2 linked regions of the Schizosaccharomyces pombe genome follow. The gene in region 1 interacts genetically with each later gene. Each region holds a gene or a part of one and is shown on either strand. Other genes may lie near its edges.

What was found. Genes that interact genetically often act in the same process or in processes that back each other up.
Region 2: mutations in csk1 (region 1) and ymr1 together harm fitness more than expected from each alone (negative genetic interaction), as found in Schizosaccharomyces pombe (one large-scale study listed by BioGRID).

The regions. Positions count from the first base shown.
Region 1 is NC_003424.3:646,301-653,667, forward strand, and holds csk1 (cyclin-dependent kinase-activating kinase Csk1), read right to left. Parts: upstream 3,266-7,367; 5' UTR 3,094-3,265; coding exon 2,590-3,093; exon of another isoform or gene 2,530-2,589; coding exon 2,314-2,529; exon of another isoform or gene 2,202-2,313; coding exon 2,001-2,201; downstream 1-2,000. Other genes in the region: chaperonin-containing T-complex beta subunit Cct2, read left to right, coding at 1-77; erd101 (EXS domain-containing protein), read right to left, coding at 293-1,377, 1,430-1,508; phosphatidylinositol synthase (CDP-diacylglycerol--inositol 3-phosphatidyltransferase) Pis1, read left to right, coding at 4,188-4,245, 4,893-5,548; DNA replication termination factor Rtf2, read right to left, coding at 6,059-6,229, 6,276-6,398, 6,463-6,878, 6,922-6,934. UniProt on the Schizosaccharomyces pombe protein: Acts as a CAK-activating kinase that specifically activates crk1 of the crk1-mcs2 CAK complex.
Region 2 is NC_003424.3:2,481,908-2,487,768, forward strand, and holds ymr1 (myotubularin family phosphatidylinositol-3-phosphatase), read right to left. Parts: upstream 3,010-5,861; 5' UTR 2,840-3,009; coding exon 2,816-2,839; intron 2,760-2,815; coding exon 2,184-2,759; intron 2,139-2,183; coding exon 1,059-2,138; 3' UTR 501-1,058; downstream 1-500. Other genes in the region: C-22 sterol desaturase Erg5, read right to left, coding at 71-203; ltc2 (BAR and PH domain-containing protein), read right to left, coding at 3,291-3,630, 3,729-5,861.

The DNA of each region.
Region 1 (7,367 bases):
GATCTGAAGGTGCTCAACTTTTGTTACGCGTTGATACTATATTAAAGGCTGCACCAAGACCCCGTGAACGAATGTAATGGGCATAGTGGTTAACAACTATTTTTTTCAAATAAAAGGACATTCTTACTAGTACTTAAAAAGATTAGAAATAAAAGGAGGCGATTACATTGTTAGTGTGACCAAAATTTAATTAAGGAATGTAAATGTATCGAGAAATTTGGCTTGTTCCTTCTTGCAAACTTGAGTTGACTTGTAATAAATGATTAAAAAGAAAAAGTTTACCTCGTAGTGACTATGAGGAGATAGCATCTAAATGGAAAAATAGCCAAAGAAATCTTCGCAAGATCTCAAGCATTTCGAAAGAAAATATCCCCATTTCATACTCATGGAATTGATGCAACCGGGGATGAAGTTTCATACTCCAAGTAACTCGTAAAATAAAATTAATAAAGCACCCAATAGCGTAAATAAACATAGGGAACCTTTTATGATTAATGCTTTTGTGAAAAGGAAATCGGATTCTCCAGTCAATGAAGACGTCCCATAAGAATGTATAAGCAGAGCTCAGGAGAGCCGAAAGAATCCATAACCAAAATAAATAACCGTGTCCAGATGTCAACGTAAATTTAGTTTGCTTTGCATGAATGATAGCAGAAAGATATATTACCGGAAGAGCTGTTGCATGTTTTAAAGCGCTTAGCAGGTTAATTTTGAATGTATGTTTTCTACGAGATAACCCGTAATGTAAGCATTGAAGTATTGCAACAATGAAAGGATAGGCCATTGCTAGAGGAACAAAAAAAGTGCCATCGCATTTTAGATCAGGTCTAAGTGTAAATTTACTAATATGACCCTGTAAGACACAACCAAAAATGTAAAAATCACCAAGTGCTTTAGCATATGATGTGAATATTTCAGAAACAATGAAATCTTTATAAGGGGAACGAAAATCTGCTTGAAAAAACAAAAATACGCGAATTATGCTTTTCCTCAACCCACGTTGAGAAGACCGGTAGCGCCATGGAAAGGGAAAAACTATTAAAATAAAAGCCGTTATTACCCAGAGAAGAGGATAAATAGGGTGAGAATAAAGGCCACCAATGTCTCCTTGAGTTTTCTTTAAAAATAGAATAAACCCAGTAGCCCAAGAAATAGACAGTATAGCAGCAAAGCAATATCCAGCATGAAAATCAACTGGGCTAACTAAATTCGCCTTGAATTCAGTATTCTCCTCAAGATCCGTGTGCCTGTTAGATAAAGGAATTTGAAGTAAGTGATACCATTTTGAATTCAGAGAACCTCGTGGATTGGGAGAAATTGGTTGGTACCGATTCAGGATGTAAATTAAATGATAACAAACTGACCATAACCAGGTACCTAAAGAATAGAGATTGTTAGTATTAGTAAATTGAAAATCTTAAGTTCATACCGACTATAACCAGAAGACCTATACGAAACGGAAGCGCTAATTTGTGGTGCAAGGGAAACTCCACGACTTCCAAATCCATCTTTAAGCCGTCACTAGGCTAGATGCATAATTTAAAGTATTTGAAGAATGTTTTATTATCTTCCAATACAATTTTTAGCGGCATTAAATGCTCAGGTAGATGTGAGAAGGGAGGAAGAGTTCGGTACCAAATTGCGTAGTCGTGCACGGTTAGCATGCGCATCAAGCTACCAAAATAAGTATCTAAGTTGTGGGAAACAAAACAGATGTAGGCCTATTCGGTTGTTTAATACAAGTGATCAACCTAATGTGAGATTGAAGAAATGCTGTGCGTAGAATTACAGATTATCGTTGCGATTTATTGCACTAGATATTCAACGTTGGATATTACTATAAAACTCAGTATTATCAAAAGGAGTTTTTAATAAAAAGACAAAAGAATATTAACTGAAGCTAAGATAATTAATTCCTACGGTAGTATTGCCTACCTGTTTATTTCTACTGTCCTTTAAAATAAATTATGTATTTCCTACACCAATCCTGAGAGTAAATTTTATGCATATTGTGAAAGCCTAGCAGATACTTTAGGGAATGACTCAATCACGAAGGATGGTGAAGCCCGATTTGAGTATGTGACAAGATGCGAAACTATATACTGAATTGAAGTATCAACAGATGGTAAAATTTCTGACCAAGGTTTGGGTGGATATTCATGAAATATAAATTTATTCCAATCTGGGAAAGTCGAAAGTTCCTTAAAAACAGTTAGCAAAATCTGCATGAAACCCTATTATTTAAAAAAAAAGTCTAAAATGTTTTGTTTTTGTTCAAAGGCTCAGATATAATGTTAAAGATTTGAAACTTACAGGCCACATGCTTGGATTTGGAGTACCCAAAGTTTGAATAATACTGCTTGTTAACCTTAATTCACTAGGCCATCCTTCAGAAGATCCATCGTCAAACAAAGCTTGATTGGAAAATAGTTCAGCGATCAGAATGCCAAATGTCCAACGATCGACTTCATGACCATAAGAATGACAGCCGAACAAGGTTTCAATTGCTCTATAATGACCAGTTCCAATCTAAAAAAAACGTTAGAAATCTTGCAGGTTCGGCAAAATATAAAACTCTCTTTAACATACTTGGGGAATGAGTTCCTGCACTTCTTCTCCTGGATGCTGTTTGGACCAAGCAATACTGAAATCAGATAGATAAGCGGGGCCATTCATTGAATCCAATAGTATATTATTTGGATGAATATCACGATGCAGAATCCCATGCTTTTCTAGGTATTCAAGGGCGCTACTTATTTGCAATACGATCTTGCATTTTGTATCAATTGAAATTTCATCCATCACATCTGATAGAACAAACGATTTAAAACTCGTTATAAGGTAAACGGATCCTGCTTCATTGTCTATGAAAGAGTCCACTATCCTTTCAATGTGTGGATGGCCTATTGACTCTAAAATAAGCTTGCCTCTCATGGCATCGTGAGGTGGCCTTTTAAATACTAAACCTTGAACTTTAATAACATATAGTTTTTTGCTATTCTTTCTTTCACCCACGAACACTTCACTAATAGTGCCATCCGTCAGGTGCCTTATATCAGTGAGCCACGGAACGAAATGACCGACTGATTTCATTAAATTTATAAATTCAATCGTTCCTGATTGATTTCACTTGAAATTTTAAGCCTATCTAACAAAATAAAAAACAGCTAAAACGTTGTAATATAAAACTTTGAAAATTACTTATCGCAAGGTGTTTTACGCAATATGTTTTTCTTTTTATGCAATGTGTTTGGAGGTGAGGCTTACTCTTTTTACAAACTTTAATGAGAGCAGACATATAGATATGTACTGGCGGTGAAGGATGGCCACCAGATGAAAGCCTAACTGTGATCTCGCATGATGATGCTAAAAAGATATTGGATAATGCTTTTAAAAAAATATAAATAGATACCATTCTTATATGTACTTTATACATTTGTAGTACACTTATAAAGTCAGAGTATGAATTTTTGTAGTAAGGAAGAATACTAAGAATTCTTTTTTTATTTTTATTTTTTTTTCGCTTTGTTTGCTTGAATGAAAAAAATATCTTTGTGATAATAAGTGTTTTAATTGTTTTAGAGATCATATATGTGTCAAATGCGTCTACATTACCTTACTCGAATTGTCAAAAATGGTGAGATGTATAGGTTTAATCTTTTACTACTTTATCTGTTTCCAAAAATCGCTGCTGTTATAGGAAATTAGAAAAAATATTAATTTATTAAAGAAATATTAATAATGATTGTCTATGAAATGTTTTACGCAATGATGTTTCGAGATTATTACTGACAGTGTCAAAAAAAAAAAAAAAAAAAAATAGTTAAATCAAGAACTGTTTCTCAGTAACAGCTTAAAAAAATAGATAAATAATTTTATTAAATATTTTAATTCATAATTCTACAAACATGAAAGAAATTACTCGTGCAAAACCATTAATAATTGAACTGAGTCAAGGTAACCTTAAATAAGCTAGGTTATGATTGTCGCGCAAGTGTTTTGTTCCAAAGAAGGTAATAAGCTTAGCGAAACGAAAACAATCCTACGTTGGCCTTTTATAATATTAATTACGGTGATTTCGTACGGGCGGTAATATTTTTTTTGCGTATTCCAACGGAAAGCGATATTGCGGTAAGCTTTATGGCAGACCACTAACGCTGTATCTTCCTTTTGCAACATTAGTTACAATGGGAAAGAACGAGCAGAAAGACCCAAACGTGTACTTTTTTGTACCAAATTTGATTGGTGAGTATTATTCGGAAGTCTTGTTACAGCAACAAAGCTATGTTGAGCAAAAAGGTCTACATTTCCTTCTTTAATTATGTCTTACCCGGAAGGTTGGTCAAAGCCTTTTCGAAATGATACTTTTTTTTGATATTTTTTTCCTATCAGCTTTTTAAAGAAAAAAAAGGCTGTATGCTTTCTACATTTGTTTTGCCATTCGATGTAAGCAATTGAGCCTACATAGAATTCATGTTGCTCAAAGCACCAACTGAACCATATTTTAAGAAATATGCGAGTTAAATTTTTAAAGCTGTCAAATGATTTTCCTTTTTGCTCTGGGCAAGCTATGAGCGGAGTATTGGATACTTTGTATGCTTTTTCGGAAGTTAATTAAAATAATGAATGAGACTTTAGATGTGCGTAAAATTATTTGTTGTGCTTAATAATTTTAAGGTGTTCTTAGACTTAACAGATTTACTTACCCTTTTGAAAATAATCTATTGCGTCAAGTCAAGTTATCTCTATTATAAAAGCATCATTTTCGTCACTTTTCAAAATTACTAAAACTTTGTGAATCATTATCTTTTATGGCCTCTTTTCTCAATATGCTGAAATTAGCGCTGGACTTTCATTCTTATAATTGTTCAGTATTCTGACTCTTTGTTTAGGTTTTACTAGGGTTTTTTTGGTACTTATTTCGTTGTACTTTATGTCATGGCACCCAAATTATTGTACTATTGTGTATTTATACTCAAGTTTACTTGACGCTTTTGATGGTTGGGCGGCGCGCAAATTGCATCAAGCCACCAATTTCGGTGCAATTTTGGATATGGTCACAGACCGATGCGCCACCTCGTGCTTGCTTTGCTTTTTATGTGCTGCTTATCCAAAATATGCTATAATTTTTCAACTGTTAGTTAGCTTGGACCTTGCCAGCCATTATATGCATATGTACAGCACTCTTCATCAAGGTGCTTCCTCACACAAAACGGTAACAAAGAAGCATAACTGGATGCTGAGACTTTACTATGGAAACAATAAAGTTTTATTCATCTTTTGCGCTGCTAATGAGATGTTTTTCGTTGCTCTTTATTTACTATCTTTTACCCCACGTACTCCTCCCAAACTTGGCTACTTACCAGTTCCTTCCTTCATTTATTCGACTGGAGAGCTCCCTCTTTCCTATCCGACCCTTCTAGCCGTTTTATGTGGTCCTATTTGCCTTGCCAAACAAATTATTAACGTTGTTCAGCTGGTGAATGCTGCCAATGCCTTGGTTAAAATGGATGTTGAGCAAAGAAGGGCTGCAAAGAAGCTTCAATAAACACAGGGTTATCCTATTTTCATATTTTCTGTTTACCAAATTTTCTATTTTTAATCAGGATGGTTTCAATCTGAACATCCTCGACCTTAGATCTGCAAGCTTACTTTGTGCATTCTCTTTGATTTTACCTCTTATAATTCAATACCTTTTTTTTGACATTTTCTCTTTCTAAAAGCCTTAATTCTATTGGGCTAAGCACTTTTGTGTTAAGCTTAGCCTTTGGGATTATTTTCTGTCACCTTTAAAAGCTTGGTTGGAGTGATTGCACTGATTAATAAAAAAATGCATCCACAACGTGAAGCCATTCGTCGAAAAGCTTATTTAGAAATAGAATGCTTTACTTATTTAAGCGATATAACTTTCACTTTACTTCAATAAATTTAATCGTTCGTTGCATTAATTTAAAAACATTGTTTATGATAAAAAAATCCTATTTAAATGTACATAGTAGATTTTTTTTTAAAAGATAAATGTATGTGTGTATTAATTTACCCATAAATAAAGCGTCCCTCAAATCTTCACCCTTTTTACACGTTCCATGTCAGTTACACTGGTCTCAGATTTTACGTTTTCTCCATCCAACATTCTATTTGTCCGCAATTCATGCTTAGCGTGCTTGCTATTTGATTTTGAAACATGTTTTCGTTTTTTATCGCCGTTTTTATTTGATTTCTTTGAAGCCTAAGTATGTTAGTCATTGCCGAATTTTGAAAATTCTGTGAAGTACCTTATTTAAACTGTGAGTCTTTTCAGATAATGCGAGATCAAGAAGGCGTTTACTTAATGTTTTTAATTGCTCAGCATTCGGGTTGATGGGAATAACGTCTTTTTCCTCGTAGACCTGATTACACTGATGTTGTGTTAGCAATAACTCAAGGGTTGGAAATGCTTTTCTTAGCTATCGATAGACTTACTTGAAAACACATTTTCTCGCCAAACTGCTTCAAGGCAGAGTATTCAAATACATGACCGCAAGGCACTATGTAGGCGAATTGGTATGTATCAGACATTACATGTCTTGTAATCGGGCATAACCATAGCACTTTACCGGAATCATCCAGCTCAACTTGAAGTTGTACCACGTCTTTCAGTGATTTTATATGAGAAGGGCTTTTCGGAACACTTGACCTATCTAACAGCATTTGTAAAATGCTTGCTTTGTTATACAGTTTTCCTAAACCACACGATACAATTGGAGGGTATAAGGGCTCATCCGTAATGGCACACTGAGAAAATTGAGAAGATTTTACAGAACGTTTAAAGTCTATATCAAGCGGCGGTACTTTGCCAGGCTCTTTCACTAATTCGTTTCGGGTTGGTAATGATCCTCCTAAAACATGTTAAAATTTAGAAGCAAAATAAACGAATCCTACCGTCATTTCCCATAGTTTACTTGTGTGTATTAAATATTACAGAGTAGTGTTAAGTAAGCATATTTCAAAGAAGCGCTTACATTCCACGACTGCATTTACTGCATTCTACTATAATGCACTAAAATTAAACGTTAGGTTTCGTTACGCAAGATATACCGAAATGTCAAATACAATTTTCGCTTCAATGATCTTCGCTTATTTTTAAACCTTATTTAAATTGCAAACATTTGTGATGGGAATACGTAGTTGCGTTAAGGACTTACGAAAGTATACACCAAAAGCAGCAATTTTTCTTCTACAACAGCTGGTTTGTAGGTTTCAACTACGAGTTAACTGCTTCTTTCATACATCTAAATCAATGTTATATGAAACATTTTGTGAAATCCGAAACCTCTTACTCTTAGTATCCAGTTGAGTTCGAAAATTGGTACTGAGTAGCTATTAGT
Region 2 (5,861 bases), 1.8 Mb from region 1:
AATGATGCTTTTCATCGTGGTATTTATGCAGCAGTTGATACAAAAAAATAATTCTCAATCTTTAACATACTTTGATCATAAGCAATGCAGACAGCCAAAAGGGCGAAGCAAATTGTCCATTTCGAATATTCAATTTCGTATCCCAGCACCCGAATAACGTTTCGGGCTGCAGGAATCAAAGTCTCAGTTTGATTCATCTCCATCGTTTTAAAGGAAGGAGCACGATGAATGAATCAACAAATCCAACTCGTTGGGTATTGGTGAAGGAAAAGTCCTTGTCGGGCTATCGGTCTTATATAGAAAATTACCGACACGCAATTATACGCTCCGAAATGAGATAGATAAATCTGGTACGATGTGAATCTTACAATAAAGTAAAAAAAAAAGAAAAGAAAAATTTAAAGTTATGAAAACTAATACTATAATTTCAAAAGCTTTCTTACTGCAGTAATTAGAAAGGCTTACTAACACTCACTATTATATTGAAAAAACTCGTTACTGGGCAGTCATTTAAGATCAGCTGTTAAACTACCAATCATGAGATGTGCAATCATACATACTATATATAAGCATCGCTTAGCATATCTACACCAAACTTTGTTAAGTGATTGCATGAGAATGCAGTGAATGGTCCGTTATACGAGTAGAGTAGAAGAACATTGGAAGAATTGATAAAATAAAAGTATCATAGGAACGGGATTCGTAGTCCAAGCGATAATCGTATAAAAGGGGATAAAAAAATTTTAGCATGGATCACCAAAATAAATGGAAGATTTGGGACGTAAACTTTCAAAATATGTATCAGTAAATTAAACGACTCTGTCGTCCTCTTCATGCGTTCATAGTCTCTCGCAAAAGTCCATGTAGATAGATTATCGGAGTCAACATGCGATGATGAAAAGTTGAATTAGGCAAAAGAGAGGCTAAAAAGAGAGAAAGAAAGAGATGCAATCAATCTAAATTGCGCTAAAATGAGCATAAAAAGGAATTAATAAAGAACTTCCAATGAAGACAAAAATGGAAGGAAAATGTCCAATGAAGATTTTCAAGTAAATGTTTCATAAAGACGGAGATTCGGAGGGTGATGGGATATTCATGTTTTCATCAGGTTGAGCAAAAGAAGCTGACCACCATCTCAGCGATGAAGGATCAGGCATTATAACATCATCATAAGGTACATAGTTAGGATTCTTGAATTCATCCTTCCGAGAAAGGAAATAGTCCCAGATACAACGAGTATGAGTGCTGACGGATGCTTGAGCTCGTTCCCGTTCAGAGTTGTATAGGAACGAACCGTATTGGCAAGAGTAAAGATGGTAAAGTAGACGGCGTAAAAATCTCTCGTTAAACTCGAAACAATTAGGAAATTGATCCATAATTTGCCAGACGCAATCTAAAAACTGATGAAAGACCGGAGACATCATTTTTTCGGAATGGTCAATTGAGAAGCCACTTAAAGCAGAGCGTACTGTTGAAAAAGTGTATTGTAAAGTCGAACTTGGTGAAGATTGGGGTGGTTCTTCTGAGTATGAGCTGTCGATTGTAAAAATACGTTTACCAGGTAAATGACAACATCTTTCTGCAAACCTATGCCCGAAGGAAAGCCAATCCTTTTCGACGAGAGCAAAAAATCCCTCAATTGTTCTATAGTAAGGATCCAAACACAATTGAGGTAGAGCACATAACTGGGAAGTTCTGTCCCATCCATCTGAGCAATGTACAAGTACATGGGCATGCCTAAAATGAACTGTTTTAACAATAAGAACCGCTCCTTGTAAAATGTTAGCCAAGTGCTTAAGCCAACTTGATCTGTTTAAGAGTTCTATCAATGGAGGTGCCGCACTAATATCTGTATTTTTAAGAGCATTCACAATTTTATTTAAAGAATCCCTCATGACGTGTATGTTATCAATTCCAAGATATATCTTCTTTGCAAAACGGTAGTGATCCATGTTTTCGCTTCCAGCGCCTACGGCAATGTTAGCCATCGCATTAGTAGAAGGCCTCGCATCAACTATAAGATTTTCTTTTCCAGGAATGATTGATGTTGCGAATATAGCTTCAACAAGTTTTTCATCCTGTGCACTTCGATTTTGACGAATACCCACAAGGGGTTGAGAGGCCCGCGTAATTGAAAACTAAATAAATTAGTATTAAAGCCTCTCAAAGTTAGTAAAACTTACAGAATTTTTATGGAGATACGTAAGGGTAGGAAATCGATTTTTAGATCTATATTTGCATCCATAATATATAACACTGTCAGAAATGCTAGCGGGAACGGCTAGAGCTTGCGGATAAGAATGGCACTCAGAGTAATTTTCGTTAATTTTAGTTATCCTCCAATTTCCGCCAGCACCATCAGCTTGGGTGGAATCACCTACTCCCATGCGCCTATATTCATTTTCAAGTAGAAATGATTTCCAAGAAGATGGCAGTTTCTCTTCATCTCCGGAGGGCATATAGTAAAATGCGTATAGCATATTTATTGAATTAATAGACATCAATTCCTGTAAAGTGTCGTATACGTCCATCGCATCCTCCGTGCTTTGAAACCTCCAACAAAAGAACATAAAGTCTCGGCATTGTATACGTATACAAAATGATTTTTCGTTAGAGCAAAGCTTTACATTATTTATCATGGAATATGCCGTCCAAATTTCCTTCCCATTTTCCGAGATTGAAAAAATAGAATGATACGCTGTCAAATGCAATGTTCCGTTCAATTCGTTTCCTTTGTTCACAAACTTCACATTTCCGACCTATTTGTTAATATTTTGATAAAATTAAGTTTTAGATCTAATCGCATTATGCTTACTTTTGCAACTTTGATGTTTTCCATCACACGGAAACTTCTTTTTATAAGCAATTGAATAAAATGAAGCAACCCTCGTACTATCAAGTACTGTGACAAAATATGAGTACAAAGAATTAAATATGTGTTTAGCGCAGAATGTAATTGCGTTCTACTTAGATAGATGAAGGTTTTAAACTATTTACGGTGGTGCTGTCGATTAATGCTGCCAAGTGCATGGCTGTAATCATTGCGGTTATCAAGGCTACAACTTGACATATCATTACCTTGTTTATTAAACAATAGAAAGGACGATTCTGAAAGATGTAGAGGAGTTACACTTATCTTTGGTATATATATGTTTAATAAATTCAACTTTATTAATTTGTGTATCTGACAAAAAAAAACGAGTGCTTGATCAAATAACTCATAAAACCCTAAATATAAAAAAGATAATAAAATAACAATAAAAATAATTAAGTTACAGTTTCATTAACAATTATGCAGCGTAGTCTGCGTTTTCCACAGTCTCGAGTGTCAATAATCTTGTAGCTAGAGTGTCTTTGCCGAAAAACAAAGTGCGGTTCCTCCAATCTTGCGTGCAAGAATCGCAATACCTTTGCATCGAGGGTGGGTATAAATCAAATTCCCTTGCTTTGTCACATCCCAACAGCTCTTGTTGAATGTATTGATATACGGCATCCTCGTGAATTATATATTCGTAATAGTTTAGAGACGCCAAATTTTCCAATATTTTTTTTCTTTTTTCTGCAATATAATTCCGTTTTCGTAACCAGTGACTTTTTTGAGGAGAACTTTTTAAAGCAAATGATTGTAAACTGTAAAAAGATTAGAATAATAATAATAACAAAAAAAAGATAATATAATGTACATGTAATCAACATTTATAATTACATGGTACTACTAACAAACTTACCATTCACTTGGATAAGTGACGTTGGGGTGCAAATAAGTAGGAAGTCCGACTAATAAATCATCAACGTCCTTCATATAAACATAACGAGCAGAAGTTTCAATATTTTTAAACTCATCGAAAACTTGCCCGACAAATTTGTTATTCTGTCGCTCATCCCAGTACTTAGCTCCAAAACAAAACATGAGAGAAAGGTTCAAGATAACCGAACAAGCAAAAATAATAACCAAAAATGAGTGAGAAAATAAATATCTTAGGAAAATGTGGAAGACAGCCCACGGCAGCTTTAGTAGATCAATTGCCAATCCTTGAAGAAAAAGCCACCAATTATTGCGAATAATATCGATAATTGACAGGTTTTTCAATTCACAGTTAAAAGGTATTTTTCTTCGATAAACCATCGATTCATTGTAGTCGCCTACTCTTCCATATTGATTTATTATCGCAATAAGCGGCTGATTTCTTGCTCTTCTAGTTGCCTTTTCCAAAAAGTTGACTTCCGTTTTTATATACTTGATAGCCAGTTTTCTACATTCAGCCTCAATAACCTTTGATATAGCAAAAGGTTTAACGATCCATTCAAGGCCTACAGATATGAGCAATCTAGACTTCTCCCTTCTAAGGTGAGATATAGAAGTTTTTGTCACGATTTTAAAGTAATCTCTATAAGGCAAAGTCCAAGAGTGATGAAGCCATGTCATAATGTATAAATGATAATCATTGCGGACGTCCATTATTTGGCAATCCTCATAGTGGTAAGATTGACATTGACCTTCTTGGTCGTAATTATAAACCTTATAATTGATGTATCGACGACTCAAATTGGTTTTTGGATCTTTTCCCCATGGTAAAAATTCGACATCATCTACTCCATGAAGATTGTAAGCACCAGACAACACGGTGCTTCTATCACCAAAAACAATATGAAACAATGCCTTAGTAGAAACATTGTACACTCGATCAAATACAATATCGTCCAGATGATGAGAACGAACAACTTGGACTGTCTCTTTCGGAAGCATAGCAATCTTGAAGTCCCTGAGGTCTTCCATAAATGAATCATTACTCTCATTCTTATTGATCAAATTAGTTAGCGCTCTACTACTCCTTCCTCTTCGAATAAGGAGATCTTCTTGAGATGGCTGTACCCCATAAGACTTGAGAGCATTATCGTCACCACCCCTTTCAAAGCGTTTTACATCATCATTCAATCTTTTGATACATGACAACAGTTGTATTGAACTGTTTGGTTTATCGGCAATGTAATTGCACAGTAACACATTAAGTCGGTCAGTTAGAGCTTTCGAAGAATCGAGATAGAGACGGAACCTTACAGTCCCAATGTTCTGGATATTCATGTAAAAATAATCACATTTAGTACTAGCAAATTGTTTTACGTTTAAAATGCTAGAAATGGGGAAATGCTCAATGAGGACCAATCCATTGATGTTGTAATATATGTAAATCCCTTTCATAGTGCAATACATTCGACCAGGCATACGTATTTGATCCTCTCTTTTACTACAAACACGGCATACAAATAAAACGGTAGATGCTTCCGATTCACCAAATATACCTCTAAATTCAGCATTCCTCAACTTAAGCTCAGAAGGAAGTTTTTCAATGTGAATTTCTCTAGCTAAACGTTTATAAGAAGGATTTGATAGATCTTCAATGTACACGTTCTGACGCTCTAAAACATGGCCGTAATTGACTGAACCCCAAAAATTTGCCAGTAAGGCGCAAGGAGAATTACCATGAAAAAAGGCTTCCTGGTCCAAAAGGCTGGTTATCGTTTCGTGAGTCAAATTTGTTATCAGTGGTGCATTGACTAGGGTCCATGGAGCAAGCGGATTAAGGAATTTAGCGCCATTTATGGAATTTGAAAGATACTTTGGAGGAGGAACAGTTGAAATTGTGGGAGATCGCATTATAGTTGAAACTTCATAATTGTTTGGACCACATAACAATCGTCCCGAATAAGTACGACGAGGACGATAATTTTTTCCTATTTTCCCCGTAGAGTTTGAGCGCCCATTGACTTGTGGATTTATAATTGATGTAGCTTTAGCAGAAAACGATGGTAAGGTAGGAGACAAGATTCGGTTAGCAGATATCCCGGAATTGATACAGTGT